4 linked regions of the Oreochromis niloticus genome follow. The protein of the gene in region 1 purifies or fractionates together with the protein of each later gene. This does not show direct contact. Links are inferred from orthologs where the notes say so. Each region holds a gene or a part of one and is shown on either strand. Other genes may lie near its edges. The genes, in order: nxf1a, UAP56-interacting factor, srsf7a and ranbp2.

Region 1 (7,887 bases):
TAAATCAGAACAACACCACATGGGAGGGCACACAGACACACAACTATTAAAATATTATAGGATGCAACTAAAGAGAGAGCATCAAACACAGAAGTGGAGACTTAACAACACGACACAAGGAACACGGGCAAGATGGGAATAAACAAAAACCAGGTGGTGAGCAAGAACGGAAGACTGTAATAAAAAGTCAAAATATAAAATAAGTAAACTTGAAAATCTCATAAACAGGCAAACACAAAGTAACTCAAGCAAAATGAGAAACAACTCCAACCTAAAGCATACTTAAACCCAAAATGAAACTAAAACTCTAAAAACTCAGAACCGTGAAGAGACCCAGGGATGGTGACGCTGAGTGCTTAGAGCAGCCTACAGCCCAACTGGCTGCACATACACTGACCTCGTTATCTGAAAGCTTTGGCCATGTCTAAGATGAGCATTCACTGTTGTAACAGTAAAAACAAGGAAAAGCATAATAGATCCCATTTAACGTTTTATTTATCATAGCTTCACCATTTGCTGTTGCTAAACATCTCCACCCATGTGTGTTCTCAGAGAGCATACCACTCCAGACTCCTGGCCCTGAGTGACGCACTAAAGAATTCGCCATTTTTCAGAACTCATGAGGTTGGTCTACATGTAGAGATGAATCTTGTTCAATTGTGCGATAAATAAAAAACACATGAATTCATCATAGCAACTCTTACAATACCTTTATGTTTTTTAAATCGATCAGGTGATTGGCAGCTCGCTTCTCTTTGTCCACGACCACAGCAAGGCCAGTGTATGGATGATAGACTTCGGAAAGACGACGCCTCTGCCTGACTCGCGGGAGCTCCGACACAACGTCCCGTGGTCTGAAGGTAGCAGGGAGGATGGCTACCTCATCGGTCTGTCCTCTCTCGTCACATCTTTAGCCCAGGCCATCAGCGTGGCCTCATGGCAGCAGGAGGAGAGCTGTGAGGAGGAGCAAATAAGCCCGTGAATGTGCATTTTTGACAGTCGTTACACAATTGTAAGTGGATGAGATGGACGAATCGACTGGTGTTACACTTGGAATGGTTTCATTCGCTGGAAGAGACTTGATTTGTTAATGGAGATTGTGTCTTCAGGGGCTAAGGAAGAGGAACAAGGGACTTCAGTGTACCAAAAATCCATAGATATGTGGTTGTGCATCCGGTATGTACATACTCTGACAGTTAAAGCTACTGTGTTACAAAGAACTTTTTGTTTTCTCATTCGCAAAAGACGGACAATCCAAGGAACATCTGATCTGATCTACAGATCAGGGGCGTACCTGAGGCATGGGTTGGGAATGACTCTGCTGGAGATCTGTTTACAAATGCTTCTGTCTTGTTTGTTTTAATTTGGTTGGTCTGCATAAACTAAAACAGCTCGCCTTTGTTGCAACATAAGCTCATTTAAGGTATCTCATTATGCGCACATAGGCTGAACAGCCTCGTGCTCTATCTTTTTTTAAGACAGTATGTGTAAAAAACATGGGTTAAGTACAGATTAAGCTATACTGATGAAGAAAACACAGCCACAATGTTTGTATTGTATTATTCTACTGTTTGTATTTAGATTACTTACACATGATGCAGCTGAAATGTTTTTCACAGTTTTATAGGCTATAAATAACCTCACATATATAAAAATTAAAATAAGAATGCTTCTTTTTGTTGAGTTTTTATATATCCGTGTCACTATTATCATCATTTTACATAAAATGCAGGGCGATCCTGGCTCAAGAGTTGGGAGTTCGCCTTGTAATCGGAAGGTTGCTGGTTCGAGCCCTGGATTGGACAGTCTCGGTTGTTGTGTCCTTGGGCAAGACACTTCACCCGTGGCCTGCTGGTGGTGGTCAGAGGGCCCGGTGGCGCCAGTGTCCGGCAGCCTCGCCTCTGTCAGTGCGCCCTAGGGCAGCTGTGGCTACAATGTAGCTTGCCATCACCAGTGTGTGAATGGGTGGATGACTGGTTGTGTAAAGCGCTTTGGGGTCCTTAGGGACTAGTAAAGCGCTATACAAATACAGGCCAATGAGTTGCAGACATCCAAGTCCAAATAGAAAGACAATGATATGCAAAAAAGTAAATAAATACATAAAATGCTAAATAGCAGTGAGAGTTTAACCGCTGAAATCTCAGGGCAGTCAAATCCATTCGATCATTGCAAAAAGCAGGTTGAATAAAATATTTCAGTGAGATGGATTAGTGCAGCCAAAAAGCATATATATGTATTACACTGCATGAGGCAGTGGTGAAGTGTTCAACTGAAGTGACGGATGAGTTTAAGGTGGGGGAGGGATTGGCTCGGAGTCCCTTCTTGTTTGATGTGGTGATGGGCAGGTGAACTGATGAGGTCAGGCAGGAGTCCACAGAGACTCCTGCCTGACCTCTTACACATTATGATCTGAAGTGAGAGAAGGAGGCAGGCCGAAGAGAGCTTGGAGAGGTGAAAACAGGTGTAAAAGTGAAGCTGCAAGGAACAGAGGCGGTGAAGGTGGATGTTTAAATATCTCGGGTCAACCATCCAAAGCAACAGATGGGGCACAAGAGAGGAGAGAGTCCAGGCAGAGTGGAGTGGGTGGAGATGAGTGTCAGGGCTGATTTGTGACAGAAAGAGAACAGTGAGAGTGAAAAGGAAGGTTTACAAGATGGGAGTGAGACACTGGCGCTGACAAAAATACAGGAGGTGCAGCTGGAGGTGGCAGAGCTGAAGGGTGGACAGGATTAGAAATGAGAACATCAGAGAGACAAAGTTATAGAGGCAGGGCTGACATGATTTGGACATGTGCAGAGGAGGGTTAGCAGAAAAAAATTGGAGGAAAATATTAATGTAGGAGGGTGGTGTGAAAGATGAGGACGCAAAGGTTGAGTGAGATGCAGCAATCCCTAAAGGGAGCAGCCGAAAGAAGAAGACTGAATGATATGATTTGTGCAAATCTGAAGTATTGTTAAAATAATGCTGAGTGTTTAATTTAAAGTAAGTCAAATAATAAATAACTGAAAAGTAAGCAGTAAAACAATTACAATTCTTAACCCTGTGAGGTCTAACACATCATCGGTGATCCGAACCCTCGGCTATCACAATATGTTTTTGTTTCTCACTGATACTGTCCGTCAGAGGATAACAAAGTAATCAGACTATCTTTACTTTTTAAATTCCTGTTTTTCTTTTCTCCAAAAGCAAAGTGTTAAGACTCAGAGCAAGGGTTAGGGTTTCAACAGATTTATGCACTTTAATATCTATATCAGCTAAATTCAAGTACATTTTTGTGTTCGAAAGTTTAGAAAAATAGGAATATCTAGCCCAAGAGACAATATTACACTAACATTAAGACATCATAATTAGCATTTTAGTGGTTGTAGACTGTCAAGATGAAAATTTATAGCTTTAGTAATTAAAGGCTCCATCTCATCTATTGAAAACACATTTGGCTTATTAAAATGTGACAATTCTAAAAGAGAGACCACAAATTAAGATGCAGAAGTTTGCAATAATGTCTTGGAGCTGTTATCACTGACTATTGTTAAAAAGGACAATGACTAAATTTGGATTTTTTTTTTTTAGTTAACAACAGGAAATACAGCAGAAAAATTAATTTTTTCCCCTTTTGTTATTGTTTAACAACCTAATAATAATTTGTGTATGATTGACAAATAGATGCCTGAATTAAATTAAGTTAATTACTTTGTTAATATTAAAACTATTTAAGCCAAATATCTATTTTTAAAAATGCCATAAAAAAGTACAAAATCTTACATATGCCTAAATATATTTTTTGTATGCTAATATTGTGGCAGTTTAAGCGTTCAGGCTGCAGTAGTCAGACGCTTCGTTTCGCCAGGTGGCGCCGTGTTGTTGGAGGATCAGGAGAAAAGTGAGCGGGAGAGACCGACTGACAGGAGCTAAAACGACAGGTTTTCTGTACTTTTATGGAAAAAAGCAATAAGGTGGTAAAAAAAAAAAAAAATTAGTGGTAAATATTGAAACTTGGCCTGGCAGGATACGCAGCCAACGTGAACGGTAGCTGCTAGCTGCAAGCTAGCCTTAGCTTCTGCTCACAAAGTTGCCCAAAAAGAAAAAACTTCAAATTTCGCTCAAGAAGGCTGACAAAGAATCTGGTGCTGTTGTGAAAAGGAGTTTTTCAAGGAGAAAGTAAGTTTTACTGGGAGATTAAGTGGTCTTGAGAGGACTAAGTGGTCATGTTTCAGAGGAGCTACCCCAACCTGGCCGTGGTGACACATGTGGTGAATGATGGTAAGTCTGACTCCCATTATTCTCTCGGCTTCGTTTAGCCTGGGTTTACATTACCGTCTAATCGCTTACACCTGCCTATGCCTCGTGTTTTAAACAGACATTGTGAAAGATATTGCCTGAACGTTGAATATTTAAAAATAAATAAGCGTGCTACCGAGGAGGAAGCTGTAGCTATTGTTTACCTGGTCAGAGAATTTAGTTGGTGTGATGCTAACGGAAGCCTTCAGGCTAATATTTTTAATGCATATATTTTTTATATTAATTAAATATATATTCAGTTGCAGTTTGGTTACTTAGGCAAAAGAACCACCTGGATGGTCACGATTTGTGATAAAACACAGATTGTACAGCTGAGCCTATCCTAAAGTTCCTTTGAGTGAAATAGTGTCAAATTATACTCCTTTTTTAATCCTGATAGGCTATATTAAAGTGCACTGTTTGTACAAAAATAAATAAAAAGTAAGCAACTCCGGACAATTCCAAAAATTAAAATATTAAGAGCTTGTTATGACATTCTGTGACATTTCTGGTAGTATTAAGAAATCGTGCTGGTTCACTGTCAGGGCTTATTGGGACCTCATTATTGTTATTGCTTCCAGCTGCACCTTCCTGCCTTGAAAGTGCTCTGTCACAGGCATTTCTCACAGCAGATCATTTGCCCTGTCGCTGTAGATATTAATAGATAATGAGTACCGATAATGGCTGCATTCCACTTATGGGAGGTCCTGGTTTTATGCTTGGTGTTCAGTGGCACAAACAATAGAAGTGAGTCATTAATATCAACTGGGTTTTTTTTTTTCTTACTTTTTACAAGTCAGTCTTTTGTGCACATGTCACGGGAACTTTCCAGTTATTTAGAGGATTACTGACAGCTGGTCAAAACAACATACTGAGATATGATTTGTGCAGCGCTGAAATTAGAATAAAAACTTCTGTAGGTTTAGGAAATGACACATCTAAATGAATGTGAGTCTGTTTTTATCAAAGGTCTTGGTGTTACATGATGTTGAAAGTATTATTTTCAAATTTAACGAATATAGTTTTTAGAAGAGATAGATTAAGAAGTCTTAGAAATCAATAGAAGATTTTAGTTATAAGATCATTTGAGTCTTATTTTACCTTGTATTGTAATATACATACATCACGAGTTAATATACGTTTAGTTTCGAGTTCATCATGAAGACAAAAGTAACCATCTCTTTAGTAAATCTGCCCTTCATGAAGGCCATGTTTTAGTGGATGTTTGTGGTGCCTGCTGTCTGTTGGAAAAATATCCAAAATGCCTGTCAGTAAGATAAGATCCAGTTTATCTTTAAAAATTATGTTAAACACTGTTAGACCAGCTAAAAGTTAGAAGCAACAGAAATTATAATAATTAATAAAATACTGTAACAATAATTACAGTAGTAGGCCTACTGAAAAGTAATATGTTATGACAAAAATATTATAATTAGACAAAAAATAAGTTGAAAAAATGAGCAAAATAAGTATATCATACAAAAATAATTATTCCAAATTCAAAAAAGTAAAATAAATAGAATTAATAACTATTTAATAAATGTAGGAAGATGAGATGAGATAGCCTTTATTTGTCCGTTGCAAGTCTTTTGCCCACAACCGAGATGACAGACAGCAAATGTATAGAGCTGTGTAAAAGTCTTGAGCCACCCCTAATTTATTTAGCCTTCATTTTGATGTTTTTTTAAATATATATTTTGGTCTTAAACAATATTTCACTAGGACTTCTAAAAGCCTCATTAAAATTTTCTTTCAACATTGGCTACTTTCTCACTCATTTTCAGTCCAATCCTTGTACCTGACCATTTTCAGATTTTTTTGTGTGTTGAGCCATTTAACACTGACCAATGATTCATTCAAGTATAAAAACAAACCAAAACTCAAGGGATGAGTCAGTGTTTCCTCTGCTCATAACAGACAACTTTGCAAAGAATCCATCATTTTGTTATCAGCAGCCTGTCCAAAAACACATAATACAGAAAAGGCTGAGGTGTGCCAAATTACAAAAGAACTGGAGTGGAAATCAGTGGCAACATGGCTTATTGAGTGATGAATCCAAATATGAAATGTTTGGTTCAAATAATCATCCACTTGTACAGAGGTGGTCAGGAGTGAGATCCAGCATATAAAAAAACACAGTGGAACACTATCAATCATGGACTGGCCTCCCCAGAGTGCTTAGCGCGGAATTATTGAAGCAGTGATCATCTTGACAGAGAACAGAACAAAAGACAGCCAACATCAAACAAAGAGCTTTGAATATTATTCAAGAAGGCTGAAGAACTATTCCCGAGGACCACTTAAAGAAATTACTATTGGGATCGGGCTATGTTTAAGAATAAGTGCGGTAAGACCAAATGCTGACTTCCTATTTTTCCTAGGAAAATATAAAGATCAGGGCTGCTTCACGACTTTTGCATAGTATTATAAGACGACATTAAAGTGGCTCAATGACACAGTACAGGTGGTAAATAATATGTTAACATGATGGGAGGCATGTAGTGTTAATGTGTGAGATATGGAAGAATTCCAGTAGCTTTCCTTATCCAGTACATCAAAAATGCACCTACAGGAAAAAAAAACAAACATACACACAGCTTCTCTGAACAGTGTTAACTCAGGGGTAATCTCAGGTGAGGTTTGTTTCGCTACAATTGCACCTGCTCATAATAAACAAGAAACAGTGTGTATAAGTGTGGGCGTTAAGTTAAATTTGGTACTTTTCACTAACGTTTAGCTTGCTAAATAAGATAACCCCATTTTATATACCCTTTGATACCGCTGTAGATTTGTTTTAAATACATTTGCATACTGGCGCAGCTTTGAAAAAAACAACAACAGATCGGCCCGTTGGCTAACTTAAAAGACAGCTGTCTGTGTTTTATCCCCCATCTTTGTGGAAATACAGAAGTTGGTGAGCCTTTTAAAGAGGTTCGTGTGTTTATGATTGGCTGTAATATGATTTAAATGGTCGGATATCCTACATCAAGCTTCGCGCTATAATTTTTGCTCATATACGCAAAACTAGGTCGAAGCTAACGCTAGCAAAGCCTGATTTGTACATTGCATGTTTTTTTTGTTTTTTACTCGACCATAATCCCACCGTAGTTTGTTTCAGCTGTCCGCTCCCTTTTCTTGCCCCGGAAGAGAACCCAGTTGTGTTTCCGGCTTCGTCTTCTCGTTTGGGCTCGGCAGGGGAAGCTAAGCTAAGCTGCTAGATACAAGGCGACAGTCACGTCGCGGTCACCTTTGTTTCCGCTGGTCCACCCGGGATGTTGGAGTTTCTCCGACAGCCTTGGCTTTGAGTGCCGTGAAACAAGGAAAATAACCACCACTAGTAGCATTGTTGTTTTTTGTTTCACTCTGGGCTGTGATTGTTATCCAACACTATTGGAGAAATATGGCGGACGGCGGTCATTACTACAATGGTAAGAAGCCACGTTCATTGCAGCTTTAAACTTACTGCACTTTTAACGATCTTTCCACAGATCTTAGAGACTTTGTCGTGAGGAGAGAGGTCAGAAGAACCGATTTCATGGTTCACGGAGGTAAAAATATGTCGAAGGCATCTCGGAGGTGTCATTTTGTGACCTTTTGGACACATGTTTA
Region 2 (7,800 bases), on another chromosome or scaffold:
GACACTTTTATCATTTAGGGACATAATTTAGGGGAATTTAAACCATCTATAAAAGCAACACTCTGAACTCACCCACATTATCAAAAGTCTCAAGGAGATCTACAAAGAAGGCAGTCAAGGTTTTCTTGAAGAGGATTACAGCGCGATGAACACAATGAACAGAACACCAAGATGCTATTAAGAATTCTTCTCCAGATGTACTGTACAAAAGTCTTAAGCCACCTCTCATGTATTCATATTTTGATTCCAAGTAGCCAGATTTTCTTGTTATTTTTAAGGTGGTCCTGTGCAAAAGTTCTCTAAGTTTCCTGAAGTTCTTTCAAAGTTTTTCTTTTCCTTTTCTTTTACTCATTTTTAGTCCTGAGTAGGGCTGGGTATCGTCACTGATTTCTAGAATCGATTGGATTCCGATTCACAAGGTCCCGAATCGATTCGATTCGATTTGTTTCGAATCGGGGAAATTTTGCCTCAGACAGTCAGAAATATTATAATTCTGATCACGCATCAGTACATTTCCATATTTTTTTTGTCTATAAAAAGAAAGCTGACAGTTGCGAGACTTTATCAAAGGTGTAAGCATCACAGCAGATGCCTTTGTGTCAAAGTGACTGAGGATAAAACACAGAAAAACATGAAGGAGATTTTCCTGGCCTGGGATTTTATAGCAGATGACCTTAAAAAGATTCTGCAGTAGATCAAAATCGAAAGAAAACCATTAATCAGCACATGAACATTAGCTGATGCTGCTGAAGTGATGCAGAGCAAAGTTACAGAGGTTTTATTAGAGACGCAGCCAAGCGTTGTGCAATTTTGCATAATTTTAAAAAGTTTACATTTGTCCAGTAGCCTATCGAACGGCAGAAATGAGGCTTTCTTGTCGGAAGTAAGTAAAAGGAAAAATACAGCGGCCGACAGCGCTGTAAACAATGGTAGACTTGTGCGTAATAAGCAAGCAAATAATGCAGAAAACAGAGATTTTTAGACGCGAAACTGTTCTTGAAGTGCACTGAGAAAGACAACGAGCTCTGCAGGAAGTGTGATTTTATCGTGGTGGAAGCAAAACAGGAAAACTAAGAGGAATTCATGACGATGTTTATGTGAAGCGAAATGCGGAGTGTAGTTCGGATCTTCTTTTGCTGCTGGTTCAGTCAATATTGTTTGGAGAGAGATAAAACCTGCAGCTTCAGAATCTAGCGCAAAACAGACGGAAACACAAAGCGCGGACCCGCCGACACATCAGAATCAGAGAGCTGTCGGCTTTCAGCCCCGACCGTGTCCGTGCCGTCGGGTGAGAAAGGCGACAGCTCACTGATTCTGATCCGTCGGCGGGTCCGCGCTTTGTGTTTACATCTTAGTGCAGAATCCGTGTACCTGCTCTCATTTACTGTTTTAGCTGTTTGGTGGTTGTTGAAATTTTGTGAGGTTTAACCTGAGATTCTGGCGTTTCGGGCAAAATAAATTTATATTTAAAAATTGATTCAGGATTTTAATGAACTGATATCACGTTATGCAGGCTAGAATCGATTTTAATTGATAAATCGATAATCAAAACCCACCCCTAGTCCTGCTTTGTTATGCCACTTAACACTGACTGTGACTCACCCAAGCATAAAAAAGCCTCCTAACTCAAGGGATGAACCAGTGTTTTGTCTGCACATAACAGACAACTTAGTAAGGAACCAACTTTAAATTGTATCTTTAGGCACTTTGCTACTAGCAGCCTGTCAGAAAACACATTTGTTCCCATTTATTTTGTTAAATCTACAAAAAAATGCCAATACTGACATTGTTTGACAGGCATAAAAAAAATAGTATCTTTGCACCAGCAACATGATTCCTAAAGAGCTTTTAGTTTCAAACTAGTCATATCTTGTGCAGTGTGTCCTTAAGACATTTTGAGGAAACTGGACAAGTGCAGGACAAAAGCAGAATTAGCAGGACTAATAAACTATCTAGAGCATATGAATAATATTAGAGAGTCATGTCCTTAAGAAAGCTTCTCACAGAATACTGACCAAAGCGGAGCCAGGGGGAAAGCTGGCTCAGGGCGGGAGCGTTCGGGTCGTTGCGTTGGCTACCAAACAGTTTAAGTCGTACATCAATGAAGGACTCCAGCATGTCCATCCCTGGTTTGGTGCCCGGCTTGGCCCATTCTGGCTCTTTTACAGTTCTGTCAACATCCAGGGAGGCGAGGGTTTTGTCCCAGTCTACTCCCTGTGAGGTAAAGAAGCAAGAAAGGAGAAAGGCTCAGTAGAGGTCACAGCTGAGAGTGATGAGTTAAAATATACACTGTGGTGCTACAGAGATCTGACAACTTCAAAAGCAAAGGAGAAAGTTTTTTTTTTTTTTTTTTTTAAATCCAGCTCAAAATATCAAGTGTGGGGGGGTCAAACCGTGTGTAGCATATCAATCTCAACCCTGGAGCAAAAGCACCCCTGCAGCTTTAATAACCAGTACAAGGGGAAAAGAGAGTTTTAACTTTTGGACAGTTAAAAAAAAAAAAATCCAGTTTATACTGAGTCATCAATAAATAATGTGTGGAAGTGAGGATAGAGTTGAAGGGTAAAAGTATGTGCTTTCTGGCAGCAGCTCGACTTCCAGGCTCCCCGTCGATGAGCCTCCCTGACAGCTTACTTGCCTCGCAATTGATTTTAGAACAACAACCCAAAAGCAATGAATAATTTCATGACCTCCAGAAGATAAATTGTAATTGTTTCTCAACTGATCCAAGAGTCTTTGAACTCACTATAAATTATAAATACGCCTCTTTTATTCTCAGTACATTCAACATTTATTCACTTCACTGTTTCTCGAGCACTTACTTTGGCGGTTCTCGTAGCAGTGTGGGGGTGTGCGTCTACCAGGGGAAAATCAGTGAGGAACTCTGATAACAGATTGGTAATTTTTCCTCTGATCGTCCGAGCGGAGTACTCGAGTTTAGGTGAAGCTACCCAGCAGGGAACAATATTGTGGGCATCAACCTATAAAAGGAGAATAGAGTGTTCAAGAAATAATGATAGGAAAAACAAAGTCAATACGCATGAAATGAGAATGAGGTCTGCGGCATCAGTTTTCATACCTATTACTTTGGAATCAGGGGAACAAATAAAGAGAGAAAACAGCCTGGGGACAGGCAATAACCAGAATACAGAGCATCCTATCAGCACACACCTCCTGCAAATTGGATCTCAGAAAGTGAGGGGTTTTTTCATACCTGTATGAAGGGAATGTCTTTGGGAAGTTTCTTTTTGACGTCCTCCAACCACTGCAGCGGCTCTCTGATAGGAGAGAAGTCAGTCACCACGGCCCCAAAGCTGCGGTTGGACACAAAGCCGGGGAGAACTTTCCCCGGAGCGCCGTGCAGCAAGTGGAACTGGATGTTTAACTGTTCACATTCCTGTTATATGGACAGAAGAGCAAGAGTGAGGCTGGGCTGTTAGTTCAGGTTCACTGATGATGTCCCACCACGTAATACCTGCAACTACAGCTAGACTCAAACAAGAGTGATTCCTCTGGTCGGGTGTAGTACTGCACAACTAATGTATGAAATATTTCTCATAGTTTCAATCACAACGTCCCTTTTATTAAGCTCTGTTTATAATGCAATGCATTTTAAATTAAACATGTAAAACAAAAAGCACTCAGAGAGCTCACCCTCTGTGCAGTATTTACTTTAAAGGAATAGTATTATATTTACTATATGTTCATTTTGAAGTTTGTACCTTTGCAACTTCTTCCAGCCCCTTCAGCATGAAGCTGTAATGTCTCAGAGTAGACAGCTCTGATTTGGGCACTACCAAACAGAAACAGACATGCAGAGGGAGGTTCTCCTTCACGGCAAGCCGCTGGGCATGGATCAGTGCCCAGTTATCTAAACACACAAAAGGAATGTGCACATACGTCATGAGAAGAGACAGTGAGAAAATGCAAACCAAACAGAGGCTGCGCCATTGCTGCACTGATGGCTCTGCTTTGATGGGTTACCTTGTACTCTCTGATCTCTTAACATCCAGTAGAGGACACCCTCTGAGCCCTGCTTTATCTTTTCATTATCAGACAGAAAACGCAGGCGCTTTTTGTTGAACTTCATGTCTTTCTTCTCTGATCTCTGCTGCTGCACAAGACTCTGCAGCCAGCCCCCAACTTTCTCCTTCTTCTCCTCCTTGACGGGAGCCAGCTTCTGCTGCTTGGCACGGTGCTCCTCGCCAGCAGCTGCAGAAGATGCCTTGCGTTTCGTGCCTGACATGGTGAGCTGGCAGCTGAAGAAACAGGTCAGGAAGAAGAGTGCGGGGCTGCTGGGCCTCTGGTGGTGGTGAGGGAGAAGCTTTAAGAAGCGCCCTGGTGCAGAGAAAGGTGATGTGCTGCAGGAAATCGTATAGAAACAGCGAAACTCAAAATTCAGAGTTTTTGCAGGCGTGAGCAAAACAGTTACAGACTGGAAAACTTCATATGAACAAAGCGACAATGCAAACAACAAGAACTGAGTCAACGGGGAAGCTCAATTAAACGTGTTTATAGCGATTCCTACTACTGACACATACCTCCTCCAAACACAGTGCAGCATACAGGGTGGGAAGCTTCAAATGATGCAGGCTCCGCTCGAGTGGACAACAAAACGTGAAATTAAACGAATAAACAACAGACTGAGTAGCCGTCGTGACAGCAGCAGCCAGGCGTCTGAAACCCGTGGCGTTTTCCCTTACACAACCACTTACATGAGCGCGCTGGTTCGGGTTTTGTAACGCTGTGTTTTCATTGAATTGAAATACACTTCCCACAGTGCATGTCTGTGACCTCTTCACGGGGCATGCGCGGCAGAGGCGGTTCGTGTCTGTTCTAGCGTATACAGGAAAGGAGCGGATAGCTAGCTCGGCTGCTAACTATATTTCTGTGTCCACTTGGGTTGTTCACTGTGGTTTGAAGTATGAACATGGGGGATTTCAAAGCAGACCGAGGGAAAAGGACACCTATTCCGGATAAAGTCGACATGTCCTTGGGTAAGGCCCTCACACAGCTATGAGCAACGTTACTAAAATAGACTACAAGCTAATAATATTAGCACCTAACTACTGGGAGGTCGCCAGTAGCTAGCTAGGCTAGATAGGCAGCACTTGTCAGAGGGCTCGCTGTTGTTGATCACTGCTCGTGTGATGATTTTAACAGATGACATTATTCGGCTGAACAAAAAAGAGCAACAATTAAGAAGGAGACAGGCCAATGTGAGCCGCCGACCAGTGAAGAAGAAAGGCCGCTTAATCCAAGGAAAGGGAGTTTCACAGAGGACTGCAGGACCAGCCCAGAGAGGTGTGTTCGCTTACGTTTTCTCAGTTATTATTAGCTTCATAGGTATGCTTCTCTTTTTCACCCCAGTTGAAACAAGTGTGTTTATCTAATGTCGCTATTCCAATACTTACCAGGAGGTGGCATTCCCCGAGGAGGAGGTCCCAAATTGAGAAACAGAAAGGTCCCACCGATAGTGGCTCGGAGACGGGGTCAGGGGGTCATCACAGGACTGGCAGCCAGGAGACCAGCGGCTCTGCTGAAGCGAGCCGGCACACTCAACAGATCAGCATTCAACCAGGTACTGGAGGACTGCACTGAAGGAGACATGAACTATAGTCCATAATACTGCCCTGCCATCTTAACTGGCAAGCACAGACCGTGTTGTGGTTTTATTAAAGTGTGGGAATCACTCCAGCTTTTGAAGCCTTATTAGGGGGCAAAACACTGAGAAACCAGACCTTAAACACAGACAGCTTTAATGGAGCCATGTTGGAAAATGACGCTACACCTTCATAAAGCAATGTTGGAATACTTCATCAACTTAGGTTCTGCTAGAATTAGTTGTAAATCATATTCAAAGTACTTCTAAACTGGACAAAAATATATAAATCTCTTAAAATTTGGTTCCATTTATTATGTTTTCCTAAAGTCAGTCTAGCTTGCTGAATGTACCAGTAGGTCCACTTTAGAGAAGTGATGTGCCTCACTTTCATCACAACCAGAGGTAGCTATTTTTCCTCATCTTGTCGCCTGGCAACAGACATCAGCATCTCTGGCGTGTTGTCCAGGAACTGCAAACTTTCTTCGTTAGCTGCGTCCCCTGTGGTTGTTTGACCTGTTTAGATGCTGTTCCAGTGTTTCTCAAGGGGGATATCGTGCTCAGGAGGTAGCACACTTTGAAAGTTCGGGAATGTTTTAGTTCATTTTAGTTATTTCACATAATCGCTGCAGCGATTGGTAGAAATCATTTTGCCTGTTTTAAGGTATACAAAAGTCAGGGAAGTTCCTGCGTTAGCATCGCTTTACAATATGCACACATGCTTGCAAGTCATCCTAAGTAGCTTTAAAGTTCTGCTAAGAACTACTACTTTCTGCCACAACATCCATGAAATCAGGATGCTGTGTGGTCCCCAGTGTGGGGCAAAAACCTAAATTTGAAGGAAACTACCTACTTTTCACAAAGTGTCCCCATGTGTGAGACCAGACACTTTGCGTTGGAGCTCTGGGAGTGCAGACATGGATCAAGGATATAATTTGGTTCCCGATAATGAAAGTATGGAAGGTTTAGGTTAACAATCTTTCTGTCAAACAGAAAGTTTACAGAGTGTGTATAGTAAGATCAAATGGACAAAGAAATTTTCTTTTTGAGTCACAATTAATCACCAAAATGCTGGTGTATTTAAAAATAAAAAATAAAAATCCAAATCTGATCTCTTTCATAGTGAAATTCAACAAATATACACCTCATTTGACATACACAGACTAAGTATTTGCACCCTTCCTGATTTCTTTTTTTGTCCCATGTTTGTTACACTTAAATTAGATAATCAAACAGATTTTAATATTAGACAGAGATAACCTGAGTGAATAGAAAATGCAGCTTGGAAATGATGATTATTTGTTATTTGTTAAAAAAAAAAAAAACTGGCTCGTTTGTGGAAAAAGTAATTGGCCCTTAAACCTAATAACTGGTTGTGCCACCACTGGGAGGAAAATCTATAATCAAATGTTTGTGATCACTAGTAATGAGTCTTTCACATCGCTGTAGATCTTTGCAGGTTTTTAAGTTTTTTTTCAATTCAACCACGTTGGAGGGTCTTTGAGCTGGAACAGCCCATTTAAGGTCGTGCCAAAACTTCTCAGTCTGATTTCAGTCCAGATTTGAGGATGCCAGTACACTGAGAACGATTTTTCGAGCCATTCAGAGGTGGAATGTTCTGGTATCTTTATGATCACTGTCCTGCTGCAGAACCTAAGTCAGGGGTAGGAAACTCCAGGCCTCGAGGGCCAGTGTCCTGCAGGTTTTAGATATGGCCTTGATCTAACACAGCTGATTTAAATGGCTAAATTACCTCCTCAACATGTCTTGAAGTTGTCCAGAGGCCTGGTAATGAACTAATCATTTGATTCGGGTATGTTGACCCAGGGTGAGATCTAAAACCTGCAGGATACCGGCATTTGAGGCCTGGAGTTGCCCACCCCTGACCTAATTGAAAGCAGAATTCATGGTTCCATCAGTTACATTAAGCCATCCATGCACTAAAGTAGCAAAGCAGTCGAGACCGTCACACTACCACCACCATGTTTGACTGTTAGTATGATGTTCTTAATGAAACAATGTGTTAGTTTTTTAGACTAAAACCTTCCACATGATATTTTGATCCCTACAAGTCCATTACTTTTTCACACAAGGGCAGGAAGGTTTGGATAGCTTTTTCCCTTAATAAAAACCTATTTTCAGGATAGTATCGTCTTCTGAAGTGAAAAAGCAGTCCCATATTTTAGCGAACTTTTTTC
Region 3 (7,477 bases), on another chromosome or scaffold:
GCAGCGCCATTGCCCAGGTCACCGACGTACACTTTACAGTCAGTGGCCCGAGACGAGCTACGGGAGGATGAGTAGTAGGACATTTTCTCTCACCTGCAGGGAGATGGTAAATATATTTAAGACGAGGATCATAGTGAGAAGAATACATTTTTTTTTTTTTTTTTTAAATCTTCCTCTACATTTGGGAAATATAGGAAAGGTTGGAATTTCTAGAATATACTTTTCTGCCAGATGCTACAATTAGTGCATGACTGCTGCGTGGAAGTGTGTCAGAATCTTTTTTTCTTTTTTTAAAATTTTTTTTTAAACTTCAGGTTACTGAGAGCAGCCAGAGCGCAATAGCTCAACTTTTCTTTTACATGGGTGGGGTGTCTGAAGACAAAGTCAATGACAAATTGAAGGACTTAATGGCAAGTTCTAAAAGCCGCCTTTTGCTTGTACCCCTCCTTGTCCTGTAGGCTGTTGGGGGGAGGACAGATTATCAACAACCGTATTCATGTGAGTGACACAAGGGGAAACATCCCTTTGTGTTTCATGTGAATGCATCATTAAATCCTCAGGCGTGGTCCTGCCCTTTCAAAAATTTACACTTAAATCTAAAGGTGAGGTTTTACACCTGGCTTTATAATTACCTACATGTAGAGATCAGGGTTGATGAATCAGCAACTGTTTTTTTTTTTTACTCTCCTACCATCTGGGTATCTTCTTTTAGTTGTCTCTAATGCTTAGCTCTCTTATCTAGTTTGGTTAATACTGCCAATATACAGACAGCTGGAAAAGTAATTATGAACCCATGACCCTTACAGCGAGGGGGATCTGGTAGCTCTGGTATATTTTTGCTGGCATGGTTTGGAACTATAAAGGGTCCCTGCAGACACTTTTGAATGAACCAGCTGTATCTAAACTGGCAGGGAAAAAAAAAAAAAAAACCTGTATTGGAGCACACCAAGGTTGTTTGAAGGGACAGTGAGATGTTAAAGTGCCATAATGGATCTGCAATCTTACAGCGCGCCATAAGCATCCTACACCTGTAAACAAAGATCAATAACCTCCTTTTAATTTTAAAGTCAAATTCAACCATTTCCGATTCAAACGTATTCCCTGTGTATCCTGTAACCCTGGCAACTGATCACGTGTGAAATTAAACTTGCCATCAAGCTCTGCAGAAGTACTTCCCACATCACCACATTTAAAAATGTTTAATGCAGTAGGCCCTCATGTGGTTGGCCTGACACTGTTCCACCTATTAGTCATAAATCCCACAGATTTTAGAAAAGGTTAGAGCTGAACAGGATTTCCCTTTTCTGGAAAGGCAGAAAAACTCAGTGACACTTTGATGGGCTCAGGAGAAAGTTATACTATACTAGTTTTGATACTGCAGACAGTTATCTTGTTGCCATTTCTTGGAGAAAAAGGTTGCCTTATCCTGTGGCGACCCTACACCTCTTGGGCGGATAATTGCTAATTTTAAAAACATGTCCAGTGACATCCATCTGTCGTGTTCTTGCTGAGCTAAGCAGCTCTCCACGCTTGGTTAAATGCCAATTTCCTAAAGTGAAATTCTAACAAAACAGAAACTCTTATCACTGCTCTAGATATTTCCATCCCAACAATCGTAGCCTTGGGTTTCCAGGTGCTACTACTACTCGTTAAGATGTGTTATTTCTAAGATGGAAATGATGCAAACTGGGGCGATCGTGGCTCAAGAGTTGGGAGCTCGCCTTGCAATCGGAAGATTGCCGGTTTGAGCCCCGGTTTGGACAGTCTCGGTCGTTGTGTCCTTGGGCAAGACACTTCACCCGTTGCCTACTGGTGGTGGTCAGAGGGCCCGGTGGCGCCAGTGTCTGGCAGCCTCGCCTCTGTCAGTGGGCCCCAGGGTGGCTGTGGCTACAACGTAGCTTACCATCACCAGTGTGTGAATGTGTGCGTGAATGGGTGGATGACTGGATGTGTAAAGCGCTTTGGGGTCCTTAGGGACTAGTAAAGTGCTATACAAATACAGGCCATTTACCATTTAACTGTTCATGCTTTTACATTTTTTGTAAATTTTAAAGCTTTGAAAAGCAAAGCACCCAGTACATTAATGCCTCCTACCCTTTCAAAAACGTACAGATCAGAAATTTGGCATACTGGCTACATAAAGGCTTTGTTTTATTGATTCTGAGATGGATTAAAAACCGCTTAAAAATCCCATTCACACAGCCATTGGGATGATTCTGGGTCTGACTTCCGTTGTTCATGTCCGTTTCATCTCGTCTTCTTTTGTATCAGGTACTTAAAAGATAAACTTTATCCATTAACGCTTTTACAAAGGTCATCTTTTACACGCAGGTACGACGCTCGTCATTTATTAACCGGCCCGGCAGCTTTTTGAAGTTCACTACATCTATATATCTGATAACGGCCAGGCCCCGAGGGCCTCCGATCCGGCTGGATTAAACTATATTCGCTGATCGATCTGTGTAACTCAGCGGTGTCTTATACAATACGATCGTTTGTCTCCCGCGTGTTTTTAAGCGAACACCGCCGGGTATCCGTTCAGGAAACCGGCGCTAACCTCCGTGTGCGTCTCACAGACGGAAGGCCACGCCACTTCCAGTTCAACAACACACTTTTAAACATCAACTTTATGCACGCAAATAAACTAATCGGCTACAAGTAAAACAGAAAAAGCAGAAATTGTTGAGTTTGGTGTATGCGTGCGAGCAGTTATTTTCGGAATTACTCGAGGCCTTGGTCCGCGCTTGCCTATAAACAATGGCGGTAGCACGCGTTAGCCCGGTCTTACCTTCGTCCGATGATTTCTGATTCCGCTCCTAAGACGAACTTCAGCCGCGTCAAACTGAAGCCAGACGTCTTTTCTTCACAGTTAAATTTGATTTCTGCGATTTAAACTCCTTACAAAGCCGAACAGACGATCATCAGGGGCGCTTCCACATGGCTCTGCCGCAAGACGAACGGCTACAAAAGCAAAAGAAACCTACCACCACCGCAAAGCGACTACCGCAGCTGCGCACTGTGACTTCAACAGCGAAGCCGGAAACGTCCGGGGAATATTTTCAAAACAAAACGACCGACATGAAGAATTACCACAGCAAGAATTTCCCACTTTAAGTCCCAAAGCAGAAAAGCTGATGTACTTGTAACTGCTACATTTCTTAATGACTACAACAATTGGCTTCATATTAACTAAGCATGTGTATTGGTTTCATAAGTAGTCAGTATCTCTCTAATATTATCTTGTAGTTTTGCTTGCATTTCCTTAATTTAGTTTAATTTTAACCCTGAATTTTCCAAAAAGCCCCCTGATGCAACCCTCTGGAATCACAGATCGTTTGTCTACTTTAAACAAACACACAAACAAAAATTTTAAAATGTACTGCTGATATAATAAAAGGATATGTCATATCCTTATTTATATCTCCTGTCAAATTTTTGGAAACTAAAATTGTTTTAAAGATTATGAATAATAACATTGACAGTTACTAAATCTCTCCAAAATTAATTTAATTCACAGTTAATCCAAGATTTATCCTAATGGTAGAACACGACACTAGAAACAGTAGGTTCATCAAGAGCATGATAAAGCTTTCTTTTTGAAATCTAAACATAAAACCTCCTGTTTAGACAAACAGTTTTAATTTTATTAAAAAGAACAAACAAAAACAATGTTGTAAATTGATGTTTGTTTTTTAATGTCCCCTTGTGCTGATGTAACAGATCAACTTTAACAGACAAGCTGACCAGATCCTGTCTTTATTCTATCAGTAAATGCATCCCTGATATAAAAGACAGGTTCATTTCCTAACCATGTGGTGGAAAGTCAAGAGATTTCAAACTTATTTTACATTGTGGGCCATTTACAGCCCATGTTGGTCTTAAGTAAGCTGGACCATTGAAACTAGCCTGTGACTCAGTAGCTTAACTGCACAATCAATCTTTAGGATATCTTCATATAAGAAAAATAAAAAAAAGTGCAATTTCCACACTGTGCATCTCATTTTTTCTGCACGATGAAGAAATGCAGGTGCAGTTACTGAAAATCATTCAGCAACTCTTTGGTCTTAAATTGTCAGAAATAAATGTATAAATTATATTATTCTGGTAGCTCACTGACCAAACTCACTGAATTAAATTAACATCCAAGGATCTAGCATCCACATATGGGGACATCACATTTTGGGTTGTCTAGACCACAATACTAAATTTTGCTCTTTCAAATGGCTTTTTAAATGACGCATATTGCTCAAGGGGGCACAACTGTTTTTGTACACAGGAAAAAATGCTGCTGTGTTCAGACACCAAATAAAGAGTTTTGCACATCATTACTTAATTCTGGCTTTATAGTGTTCGATAGAACCACATAAAGCCAAATAGCAAAGAGAAATTAAAACTGCATGCCATGAAAGAGTTCAGGCTTTAGGATTTTAATTAAGCTTTACTTCTTCCTACTCCGTTTTGAACACGTTATTATATATTATTTATTATGATTATTCCGTTTAGGATGTGAGTCACCACAAGAGCCAAGGTGTTAAAAGGTGTTTTTAATCCTGGGGTCAACAGGTGAAACACAGCCTCAGATAGCTTCAATAGCTATCTGATTGGGATAACCACATTTTAAGAGCTTTCTTTCTGTGTGTGTTCCTTTACTTTACCTTTTGTCTTAGAGGGAACGTTTTCTGCCCAGTGGTGTAGTTCAAGTTTCAAGTTTTATTGTCATGTACAGATAAACAGTGTAGCCACATTTACCCATAATGAAATTCTTTGGCTCGTGCTCCTCAGCTTTACATAAGCATATAGAAGTGTACAGTTAAATTAAGAAGAAAACAACAAAAGTATTAAATATTTAGAGAATTTAAGACAAGTTGGTATTTACAGTTTGTGCAAAACTTGTGCAATGAGCATTTAAGTGGCATTAGTTGATGTGACAGTGTGCAGAGTCCTGTAATTGTAGTGAGTGTGTGATGGTGTGTATAGAATGTCAGCAGTTAAAAGGCCTGATGGCTTGTGGGTAAAAACTGTCTCTGTGTCTGGTAGTGTGGGTCTGCATGCTCTTGAACTGCCTGCCGGACGGCAGGAGTGTGAAAAGTCTGTGGGTGGGGTGTCTGGGATCAGAGAGGATCCGCTGCGACTTGCTCATGCAGCACTGTCTATAGAGATCCTGCATGGCTGGTAGTTCAGGCCTGGTGATGCGCTGTGCTGATCTCTAAAATTAGAAATATCCTGTCTCAGAGTGATGCTGAAAAACTAGTTCATGCATTTATTACTTCCAGGCTGGACTACTGTCATTCATTATTATCAGGATGTCCTAAAAACTCGCTGAGAAGCCTTCAGCTGATCCAAAATGCTGCAGCAAGGGTACTGACAGGGACTAGAAAGAGAGAGCATATTTCTCCTGTTTTGGCTTCCCTTCATTGGCTTCCTGTTAAATCCAGAATTGAATTCAAAATCCTGCTCCTCACATACAAGGTCTTAAATAATCAGGCCCCATCTTATCTTAATGACCTTGTAGTACCATATCACCCTATTAGAGCACTTCGCTCTCGCACTGCAGGCTTACTTCTTGTTCCTAGAGTATTTAAAAGTAGAATGGGAGGGAGAGCCTTCAGTTTTCAGGCCCCTCTTCTGTGGAACCAGCTTCCAGTTTGGATTCAGGAGACAGACACTATCTCTACTTTCAAGATTAGGCTTCAAACTTTCCTTTTTGCTAAAGCATATAGTTAGGGCTGGACCAGGTGACCCTGAATCCTCCCTTAGTTATGCTGCAATAGACGTAGGCTGCCGGAGGACTCTCATGATGCATTGAGTTTTTCCTTTCCAGTCACCTTTCTCACTCACTATGTGCTAATAGACCTCTCTGCATCGAATCATATCTGTTATTAATCTCTGTCTCTCTTCCACAGCATGTCTTTATCCTGTTTTCCTTCTCTCACCCCAACCGGTCACAGCAGATGGCCGCCCCTCCCTGAGCCTGGTTCTGCCGGAGGTTTCTTCCTGTTAAAAGGGAGTTTTTCCTTCCCACTGTCGCCAAAGTGTTTGCTCATAGGGGGTCATATGATTGTTGGGTTTTTCTCTGTATCTTTTATTGTAGGATCTACTGTACAATATAAAGCGGCATGAGGCTACTGTTGTTGTGATTTGGCGCTATATAAATAAAACTGAATTGAATTGAATTAAATTGAACACCTGTCAAAAAACAAACAAATAAACCTTTTATGTGCCATATTACAATTATTAATAAATAATCTCAAAGTACAGTCAAAGGTCAAAGTCAAATAAACAACCCTCAGTATCACAGAGTTTTACTGGCCCATGTACAGTTTTATTGGCTTGTGAAAAAACACGCAATGTAATCTGACTAACACATTATTTTATAATATTTCAATTTAAATCTGAAAAAATGTTATGAAAACATTTTGAAATAAATAATGTCTACTACACGCATCATGCCCCTTTAGCCTCATGTAAAATAGGACGGCTGCCTTTAGCTATCAGCAAGGTGTTTAATTTAACTAGAGATGGACCGATCCGATATTACGTATCGTATCGGTCCGATACTGACGTAAATTACTGGATCGGATATCGGAGGGAAATAAAAAAATGTAATCCAATCCATTAAATATCAAAAGAGCACCTCAAAAAACTTGCGACATGGCGTAACTCGGCTCATAACCGTAGTACGTCGGAGCAGTGTGAGTCACGTGATAGAGCGGCTGTGTGTATTTGTAGCCTCGCTAGCAATCCGGCATTTCATCTCCTAGGACAGGGGTCTGCAACCTTTAACACCCAAAGAGCCACTTGGACCCGGTTTCCACGCAAAAGAAAACACTGGGAGCCGCAAATACTTTTTGAAATCTAAAATGAAGATAACACTGTATATATTGTTTTTTTACCTTTGTGCTTTGTGTGAACAACTAAAGTAAGTAAGTAAAGTTTATTTATTAAGTGCTTTTCACAGACAGGCAGTCACAAAGCGCTGTACACAAATATTAAAATAAACAATACAATCAATAGACATTATACACAATGTAAAAGATCAAATGTAAATAATGTAAAGAATATAAAATACGTAGATCAACAAAAGGCTTGTTTGAACAGAAAAGTTTTTAACTGCTTTTTAAAAGAATCCACAGAGCAACTAAGGTGTGTTGCTTATGAAATCCATGAAGTGCTACAGAGAAAATTACATTTTATTTATGTAATCAACACATTTTGAACTCTTAAAGAAATATAACAAAAGGAAAGACACCCAGCTGAACTAAAATGATCCATGTAGCAAACAAAAACTGTTGTGAGCCGCCACCCTTATATCGCCTTTGGGCTTTTGGAGCCTTGACCTGACTTTTAAAAAGTAATTGGAAAAAAAGCACTATGCTGCTAAAAAAAAAAAAAAAAAAAAAGATATTTGCAAAATTCTGCCTAAATATCTATTTTACCTTGTTAATGTGTGTGGCGGGGCGTGGTCTGCAGCGCCGCT
Region 4 (7,861 bases), on another chromosome or scaffold:
AAACACAGGCAAGATTCTGTTCATTCAGGGAATTGTTATTCGTCAAAAGGCATTATGAATGCTCATGAATCCCAGTGCTAAAACAGACATAAATTAGGGCTGCTTGAAAAACAATGATCAGAATCACTTCATTTAACGTTGAGACTGCAATTATTAAAAGAGGGATGTGCGTTTCTCTCATCTTGATCATGTCTCAGCCTTGTAGGGCGTCAGTTTTTGTTATAAAGGGTGAGAAAAGATGAGGTCAAGTTGAAAGAAAGGCAGATGTGAAATGTAAATATTAGGTCAGAAGTCAAATGTGACATGATACTTTGAATGCAGAGGATAATGTGATATTTAGAATCCCTGGTATCAGTATCCAAATTTAAGTCTTAAGTTAAGACAGCTGTCTTCTTCTTGTGTATTGTCTTTAAAGATAAAAATATGATTAATTGCAGCACCCTACCAGAAACACGCATGGGAAGGTGTGCATCTTTGTCCAGGATTTGGGGTTTTGAAATAAAGGTCTGAAAAATAACATTCGAAATTCAGACGTTGCTACGTCCAATGTTCGCAGGAATCAGAGTTTTTATGATGGAATTAAAAATGTATTCAAAAAATTAGATTTCAAAAGTAATCTCGAGTCTCAGTAGGTCTGAGACTTGTCAGAAGGGCTTCTGAAGGAATGAGATCATTACAGTGATGCTACACATATCATGATATGTTACAAAATCCTCTCACCTGGAAACAATATCCTCTACTGATCACTGGCCAGTCTTCTGAAATACAACTGTTTCTCTTTCTTCCACAGGAACAAGTTTGTGGAGTTTGACATGAAGCCGGTGTGTAAGAAGTGCTATGAGAAGTTCCCTCTGGAGCTGAAGAAGAGACTGAAAAAGCTGTCTGAAACTGTTGCAAGGAAGTAAAAACACAGTGGAGCAGCTGGAGAGGGAAAGATAGATGAGACCATGAGGTGGCCATGTACAAGCCCAGAATTAAAATAAAGAATTTGTGTGTTTTGCAACTGCTATGTTGCATTTAGGTTGGTTATAGCTAGAAAGCATTGCACTTTCAATTTCATGTGCCTGCAGCCGGCAGCTCCGCAGTCACATTTTCGGTCAGACAGCTTTAACTTTGTGCCTTGTACCATTTTTGCAAAATTGCTCCACTGTGTGTTTTACACATGCCTGCTAATTTCCTGTATTTAAAAAAGTGACATATGAGTTTTAAGAGTACATAGAAAGCCAGAGGTAATATGATGACTTAAAAGCTTTGCCGCCACCTTGTCTTGTGATGCCAAAAAACCTTTATTGAAAAATATTACTGCTTCATTTCTATAACAATCAAGTAAGCCCAAAGAAAGAAAATGTCCCAAATGTGTAAATAACCTCAAATATTTCCAACTTGTATCATTTTATGTATTAGTAGTGTTTATTTCCATTAATATTATGCATAATAAGTATTTTATCTGCCTTTTTTTTGTTTGTTTTTTGGACCTACATTTTAATATTACACAACGGACTCGACCATCACCTGCAGTGTTGGATTGCCTTGTTACTGTATGTGCTATGCATCTTTGTGTGGCATGATCTCTGTGCAAATTGGTATTTATTCAGCATTTTTTTGCGTTTACAATCTGAATTAATCTAATACAGCCAAAGTGCCGAGGGCGAAATTTAGATTTATTAAATACATGTGAGTGAATAACTGTTACCTGTCAGTGTTCTATAAAACAATCCCTCCCCCGTCCCGATGTGCTGTCAACAAATATTGATCATAACAAGCATCTGAGCCACAGGATTTATTGAATGGTTACTGCAAACTCAGTGTGTGTTACAACATGACGGCTTGTGGCATGTACAGAGACCGGATATGGGATTGATGTTGAACATTTGAACGTTTCCTCTGTTGTTTGTAATCCAGGGAAAGTGATCCTCTTAGGGAGGTGTACCGACTTCCTCGGGGCTCAGACCCACTTAGGAAAGAAAGCCAAACTGGTCTCATTCTTGCAGAATGCTTCACATGACCTCCATTTTATCACAAAGCTTAGCTTAAAATACAAGCTCTATAGATAAACACATTCCACTATTTTATCATTATGAAGTGTATGTTACTGCTGTGCATTTCCGTGCAGATGGCACAACTTTCTCTATGTCATACAGAAGTAAAACTATCCGCTGGGCTGATTGTTGTGAGGCAGAACTTCGGCACCTCGAGCCACAAATAGTTCAGTGCATGGTTTTATTTGATACTTTACTACTCTGATGGACTGAGATGACTCTGTGCAAACAGATACTGCTCTGATACTGGATATCATCATTGCAATGTTTGTGAGCAGATTTATTCATGTTGGCACACCAAAGTGCATGTTCTTAACTTGAAATTTGGGAAGTTGTTTCTTATTATATTTAAAGTCATTCTGACACTTCATCGGAATAAACACATATGTCAATGCTACCGGTGTGTGTGTAATGATTTATTTGGTTTACAGCTTCTTACCATTCTCAAAGTGTAACGTGAAACCAGCAGCAGGCTCAGGATTCACAAGTGTTGCATAATGTTTAATGACACTCCAAAATTTCACATATGTTGCATTCGGGTCCACGTTAAATGGGAACATGCTTGATTTTGAGCTTCATCAAGTATATTAGCAGCTCCACATTATCATATACACACACATATGAAGTGACTCAAAATATCCCAACATCAGAGGACTACTAATGGACATTATACACATGTGTGCAACACTAAACAGCCATTAGCATCTGCAGGATAGTCAATATGACAACCATAATCTGAAACAGCATCCATCTAACTTCAGAAGTTATTAAGAGCACAAATCAATAGAGTTCAAGACAAAATTGTTGGCTATATCCAGATGTTAGCTAACTCTCACTCACATTCAGCTAACAGAAAACAATTAGAAATACAACTGCAACATGTTTGACTATTAAAATACCGGTTCAAAACATAAACCTGTACAATAAATATTTATTACTAGAATTATGCTGTAAGTTTATACAATGCAGAATATAAAACTTTTGGGAATAAAGTTAAAGATAAAAAATACAGGAAGATTAATCAGTGCACAGTATCAACTAAAGAAAGGCAACATCCAAGATGATACATACTTACAGACAAAAGAACATCAGTTTTATTAATACATATCTTCAGAGTACACCAGCTGGAGTATTTTCATTTATATTCTACCTCCTTTTGCCTTCAGCACTGCCCTAATTCTCTGTGGGATGAATTCAATAAAGTGCTGGAAACATTTCTGTGAGATTTTGGTCCATGTTGAAAAGATGGCTTATTTATTTTCAATAAATAAGAGATTACTGGTTTGATCACAGGAGAAAACAAAAAATCTACCAAATCAAATATGTAGAATTAACTGCTGCGGTGGCCCTTTTACAAGCTGCTGAGTAGTACTGACATGATAGCATCACGCAGATGCTGCTGATTTGTTCTCCTGTTCCAACACATCCCAAATGCGCTCTATTGGATTGAGATCTGGTGACTGTGGACGCCATTTGAGTGCAGTGAATTCACTGTCATGTTCGAGAAAGCAAGCAAAGAGATTATTTGAGCTTTGTGACAAGGAGAGTTTTGCTACTGAAAGTAACCATCAGAAGAGAGGTGCACGGACATGATTAGCAACAATACTCAAGACTGCTGCATTTCAGCAATACTGAGTTGGTACTAAATGGCCCAAAGTGTGCCTATAATTACATTACAGCACCACAAGAATCAGAATCTTTTTTAATGTCAATGGAACATTGAAGAATTAAAACAATTAAATCATGCTGAACAAGTTGTGTCTTCTCCTGGGATCAAACCAGTAATCTCTCTCCTTGACAGATCCATGCTTTCATATATTTTACACCAAATTCTGACTCTACCATCTGAATGTTGTAGCAAAAATCAAAACTCAACAGACCAGGCAACAGTTTCAGTCTTCTGTTCTACAATTTTGTTGAGCCTGTGTGAATTGTAGCTTCAGTTTCCTCTTCTTAGGAGTGGCACTCAGTGTGGTTTTCTGCTACTGTAGCCCATCTGCTTCAAAGTTCAGCAGGTTGTGGATTCAGAAATGCTCTTCTGCAAACCTTGGTTATAACAGGTGATTGTTTGATTTACTGTTGCCTTCTTGTCAGCTCAAAGCAGTCTGACCAGTCTCCTCTGACCTCTGGCATCAAAAAGTCATTCTCACCCAGAAAACTGCCGCTCACTGGATACTTTTTCTTTTTCTGACTATTGTTAGTAAATCCTAGATGTGGTTATGTGTAAAGAAATCCTAGTAGATCATCAGTTTCTGAAATCATACTCGTCGACTCCATCTGGCACCAACAACCACGTCACATGCAAAATCACCCAAATCATTTCTCCATTCTGATGCTCAGTTCATAATAGATGATGAATGTCTGTGTAGCTGATAAAGTTCAAATGGGCATTGCATAGCACAGCTTTCCCTCTGACAACTGTTACTCATTCAGGTGTGCAGAGGTTTTGATGAGAACACTTTGGAATAAACCGCTGACTAAAAAATGTTTTTTAAAAAAACTCCTTGACTGAAGCTTATCAACAGAAACAGACATGGAAAAATTTGCAAAGATATCAGCCTATAAAACTGGGCATGATATAGCATGATTTGTTTAAGTCAATACTATTGGTTACACATATACAGGGTTTAAAGATATTTAATTTATGTAACAAAATATTTATCAAATGAAGGATTAAGGCTTAATTGTTGGAGAAATTAGGATTTTCAGGTATTTGTAACAGAACCCTTCAAACTGAAATGCGTCAGTCTGCGTTAAACTGAATTCTTGTTCTCATTGGTTAAGAAGTCACGTGACAGCTGCCATTTGACGGCATTGAGACTGCGCAATATCATCATGGGGAGTTAACGTCAGGCGAGCTGATGTTACCGTCAGTTTTGTTTTAGATATTTAGTGAATTTCTGGTTTTCTATGTCTCACATTCAGCCGCTGTAGAAGCCCCTGACCTTGGAAGCTATGCGACGAAGTAAGGCTGACGTGGACTGTTACGTTTCCTCAGTACAGAGTTCCTCTCCCTCACTCAAAGAGGTAAGTTAAGCCCGCCGAGGCTAATGTTAGCATGCTGCTGCCATCATGTCACATCAGCCGGTATGAGGTACAACCTGTACACATGTTCAATGAACACTCGTTGCTTTTTTAACTACGATGACGGTATTTCGGTTGACTCATATGTCGTTCTCTGTGTAACCCCCGTCCCCCAGATAGTCTTAAAGACTGTAGCTAACCGGCCGGCGTGATGACGCCCCGTCGTGTCCTCCCCTTTATACTCGGGAAAATGCGCGGCATGGGATCCCTTGAACAGCGCCAGCTAATCAGCTATGCTAGTTAGCCACGATAGCGAGACAAAGCTAGTTGGATAGGTTGTGCAAGTTTCATTTCTCTGGAAAAGCTAGGTTTCAGTTCAGACAACAATTAAAAATGCTCGTTGCTTGATCGTATCAGGAGCAGCAACCCTAACTCTGTTCAAAAACTGGTGGTTTTAGTTTAATTGCAAACAGACTTGTCTGTTAATCAGGCAGAGTTCCAAGGTTTCTTGATTTGCTTTTGTTCTTTTTAATTATTATTTATTTGGATCGGATGTCAGGGGGGAAACAGTTACACCCACAGAAAATCAGAATATTTAATGAGAAATAAATACAATGTAAGAAAAACTTGAATGCATCAGAATTCAGGCTTATCTGTACCAGAGGTATTATGTGAAAAGTAGCATTGCTCAACAGTCTGAAAGATGCTTAACTGATAGCGATTAGCTCGAAAGTATACTGAAAGGACAAATGATGCAGAAATATATGTTAGTGTTATTATGAGATCATGAAAATTTGTTTTGTAGATATCCTTTTAATGTTGCAGCTGAAGATGTTGGTTTAATTGCTTATACATATCTACAACATGGCAGCATAATATGATAGTCGATCAGTCAATTACTTGAGTAAATGTGGTGCTATGTGGTCAACGGTCCTAACCATGCTCTCAAGTTGCTTTACCCTAGTCAGGGTTTTGTTTTTGCGTAATTCCAACGATGTTTTGGTCTTACATCAAAGTAAAGTCATCAGGATTGTGGTTTTTCATTGATGTGGTGTGTAGTTTAATGTACTCAAGCTTAGAATACACTTTGTGTCGCTAGTGATCAAAAGTAATTAATAAAAATGCACAGACCTCTAGAATAGAATAAACCTTTAATATTCCACGGATGATAAATTTGGGTGTTACAGCTCTTAGACCAAGGGGAATATAAAAGGAAGACACAAAGTGGTCCTATATACATAAGCAAACGAGGTTCGTATATATACAGGTAACAATGTACAGAAATATGTATAGAAAAAGTAAGGCAACACAGACTCTGTCTTAATTATTTGTGGAGCAGTTGTACTTGCATGCACAGTCACCCTCCCAGAGGTGTGTTTTGAGTCAGGAGAAACCTTGGTATTGTAAGATTAACAGTCTAGCCCAATTATATGTGTAGGGTTGCACCAGTAGAGCCAAAAATGTAGTTTTGTTTGACAATAGATTCACACTTCTACACATATACCTGTGGAATGCCTCCTTGTGCATTTTGTTGTGTACAGTAATGTGTGTAGTCTGGAGACATTTACCTAAAGAATTAAATCACAAGATTGGGTGTCATGCTGTTCAGAGCTTAAACCTGTATTATCATCAGTTAAATCATTCCTAAACAAACATACAGAAATTAAATGTTGGTGTGATTTGTAAGGAAATATTTATTTACATAGGACTTTTTAAGACAGGAATCTAGTTTTAAAAAGTGCTTTACAGGGAATTTAAAAATATATCAAATAAAAACAACATATTGCACAAGAGCATTACCCAAATGCCTGTCTAAATAGATGAGTTTTCAGCTGTTTTTTTTCTTCTTCTTCTTCTTCTTCTTTTTTTTTTTTTTTTTTTTTTTAAAGAAGCCAAAGAGTCAATAGTGCATAGAGGGGGAGGTAAACTGTTTTGACGCTAAGGTTTGGAAAGCGTGATCCCTCTTTGTATTTTAAATGGGTCTGTGGAATAGCCAGAAGAGCACTACCTGCTATCAACTTATTCTACGTTGTTCACCTGACACTGAAAAAGTCAGTGATAATAGTTGTAGTGTGGTGGGTAGGAGAAGCTAGCAGTAAATCTGACAATGGGTAATGCTGTAATCCGGATGGCTAATATGTTACTAACTAGCCTCTGGGAGGAATAATTTCCCAAAACTACGATTTAGTTAATTCCTCAGGATAAAAGATGTTTTGGGGGTTTTTTTGTTGTTGTTGTTGTTTTTTTTGAGCTGATCACTTGATCAAAACTGGATAATGAACAAAAATATCTTTCATTATTCTGATGTATTCCCAGTTAACAATCTACTTGAACCATTATAGACGGCTGTGATTTAACTAGGCATTGGCAGGTCCATATGCAGGATTTTTTTTTTTTATGGCTAAAAATGGGCCTTTGGGTTGTGGTACAGTTACTAAGCAGGTACTGAGTACTGGTAAGTATTTAAATCCCACTAAGCCAGATAACTCTGCAGGACATGTGTAATTGCATCTTCTCACTATCATAACAAGATGAATCCATTTCCTCATGCTGGTCCACATATTTTTTTTTTCTCTCCACAGAAGCCAGTCAAAGGGTTTTTATTTGCTAAATTGTACTTTGAAGCAAAGGAATATGATCTTGCAAAAAGGTAAGCATGTGAGCCTCTCCATTGTTTGACCCAATGCTTGTGTGTTGCTATATTGTTTGTAATTCCTGTCTTTCATGCTTTTCCTAGGCATGTGTCAGACTATCTCAAGGTCCAGGAGAGGGATCCCAAAGCACATAAGTTCCTTGGA

The links.
Region 2: the proteins of nxf1a (region 1) and UAP56-interacting factor purify together in Homo sapiens (affinity purification with western blotting; 3 studies listed by BioGRID and IntAct, with this or other methods). This does not show direct contact. The link is inferred for Oreochromis niloticus from reciprocal best matches to the Homo sapiens genes NXF1 and FYTTD1.
Region 3: the proteins of nxf1a (region 1) and srsf7a purify together in Homo sapiens (affinity purification with western blotting; 3 studies listed by BioGRID and IntAct, with this or other methods). This does not show direct contact. The link is inferred for Oreochromis niloticus from reciprocal best matches to the Homo sapiens genes NXF1 and SRSF7.
Region 4: the proteins of nxf1a (region 1) and ranbp2 purify together in Homo sapiens (co-immunoprecipitation; 5 studies listed by BioGRID and IntAct, with this or other methods). This does not show direct contact. The link is inferred for Oreochromis niloticus from reciprocal best matches to the Homo sapiens genes NXF1 and RANBP2.

Annotation. Positions count from the first base shown.
Region 1 is NC_031966.2:20,671,799-20,679,685, reverse strand, and holds the start of nxf1a (nuclear RNA export factor 1), read left to right. Parts: upstream 1-4,887; 5' UTR 4,888-4,958; coding exon 4,959-5,025; intron 5,026-6,591; exon of another isoform or gene 6,592-6,606; coding exon of another isoform or gene 6,607-6,625; intron 6,626-7,381; exon of another isoform or gene 7,382-7,678; coding exon of another isoform or gene 7,679-7,706; intron 7,707-7,766; coding exon 7,767-7,826; intron 7,827-7,887. Other genes in the region: si:ch73-22a13.3 (inositol-trisphosphate 3-kinase A), read left to right, coding at 553-624, 734-982.
Region 2 is NC_031982.2:9,983,528-9,991,327, reverse strand, and holds the start of UAP56-interacting factor, read left to right. Parts: upstream 1-4,790; 5' UTR 4,791-4,924; coding exon 4,925-4,997; intron 4,998-5,163; coding exon 5,164-5,304; intron 5,305-5,417; coding exon 5,418-5,581; intron 5,582-7,800. Other genes in the region: cpdp (CPD photolyase), read right to left, coding at 2,016-2,214, 2,823-2,981, 3,215-3,397, 3,723-3,871, 3,985-4,361, 4,542-4,564. UniProt on the Homo sapiens protein: Required for mRNA export from the nucleus to the cytoplasm. Acts as an adapter that uses the DDX39B/UAP56-NFX1 pathway to ensure efficient mRNA export and delivering to the nuclear pore.
Region 3 is NC_031979.2:36,107,940-36,115,416, forward strand, and holds the start of srsf7a (serine and arginine rich splicing factor 7a), read right to left. Parts: upstream 3,012-7,477; 5' UTR 2,789-3,011; intron 94-2,788; 5' UTR 84-93; coding exon 1-83.
Region 4 is NC_031987.2:11,384,811-11,392,671, reverse strand, and holds the start of ranbp2 (E3 SUMO-protein ligase RanBP2), read left to right. Parts: upstream 1-4,843; 5' UTR 4,844-4,994; coding exon 4,995-5,066; intron 5,067-7,645; coding exon 7,646-7,713; intron 7,714-7,800; coding exon 7,801-7,861. UniProt on the Homo sapiens protein: E3 SUMO-protein ligase which facilitates SUMO1 and SUMO2 conjugation by UBE2I. Involved in transport factor (Ran-GTP, karyopherin)-mediated protein import via the F-G repeat-containing domain which acts as a docking site for substrates.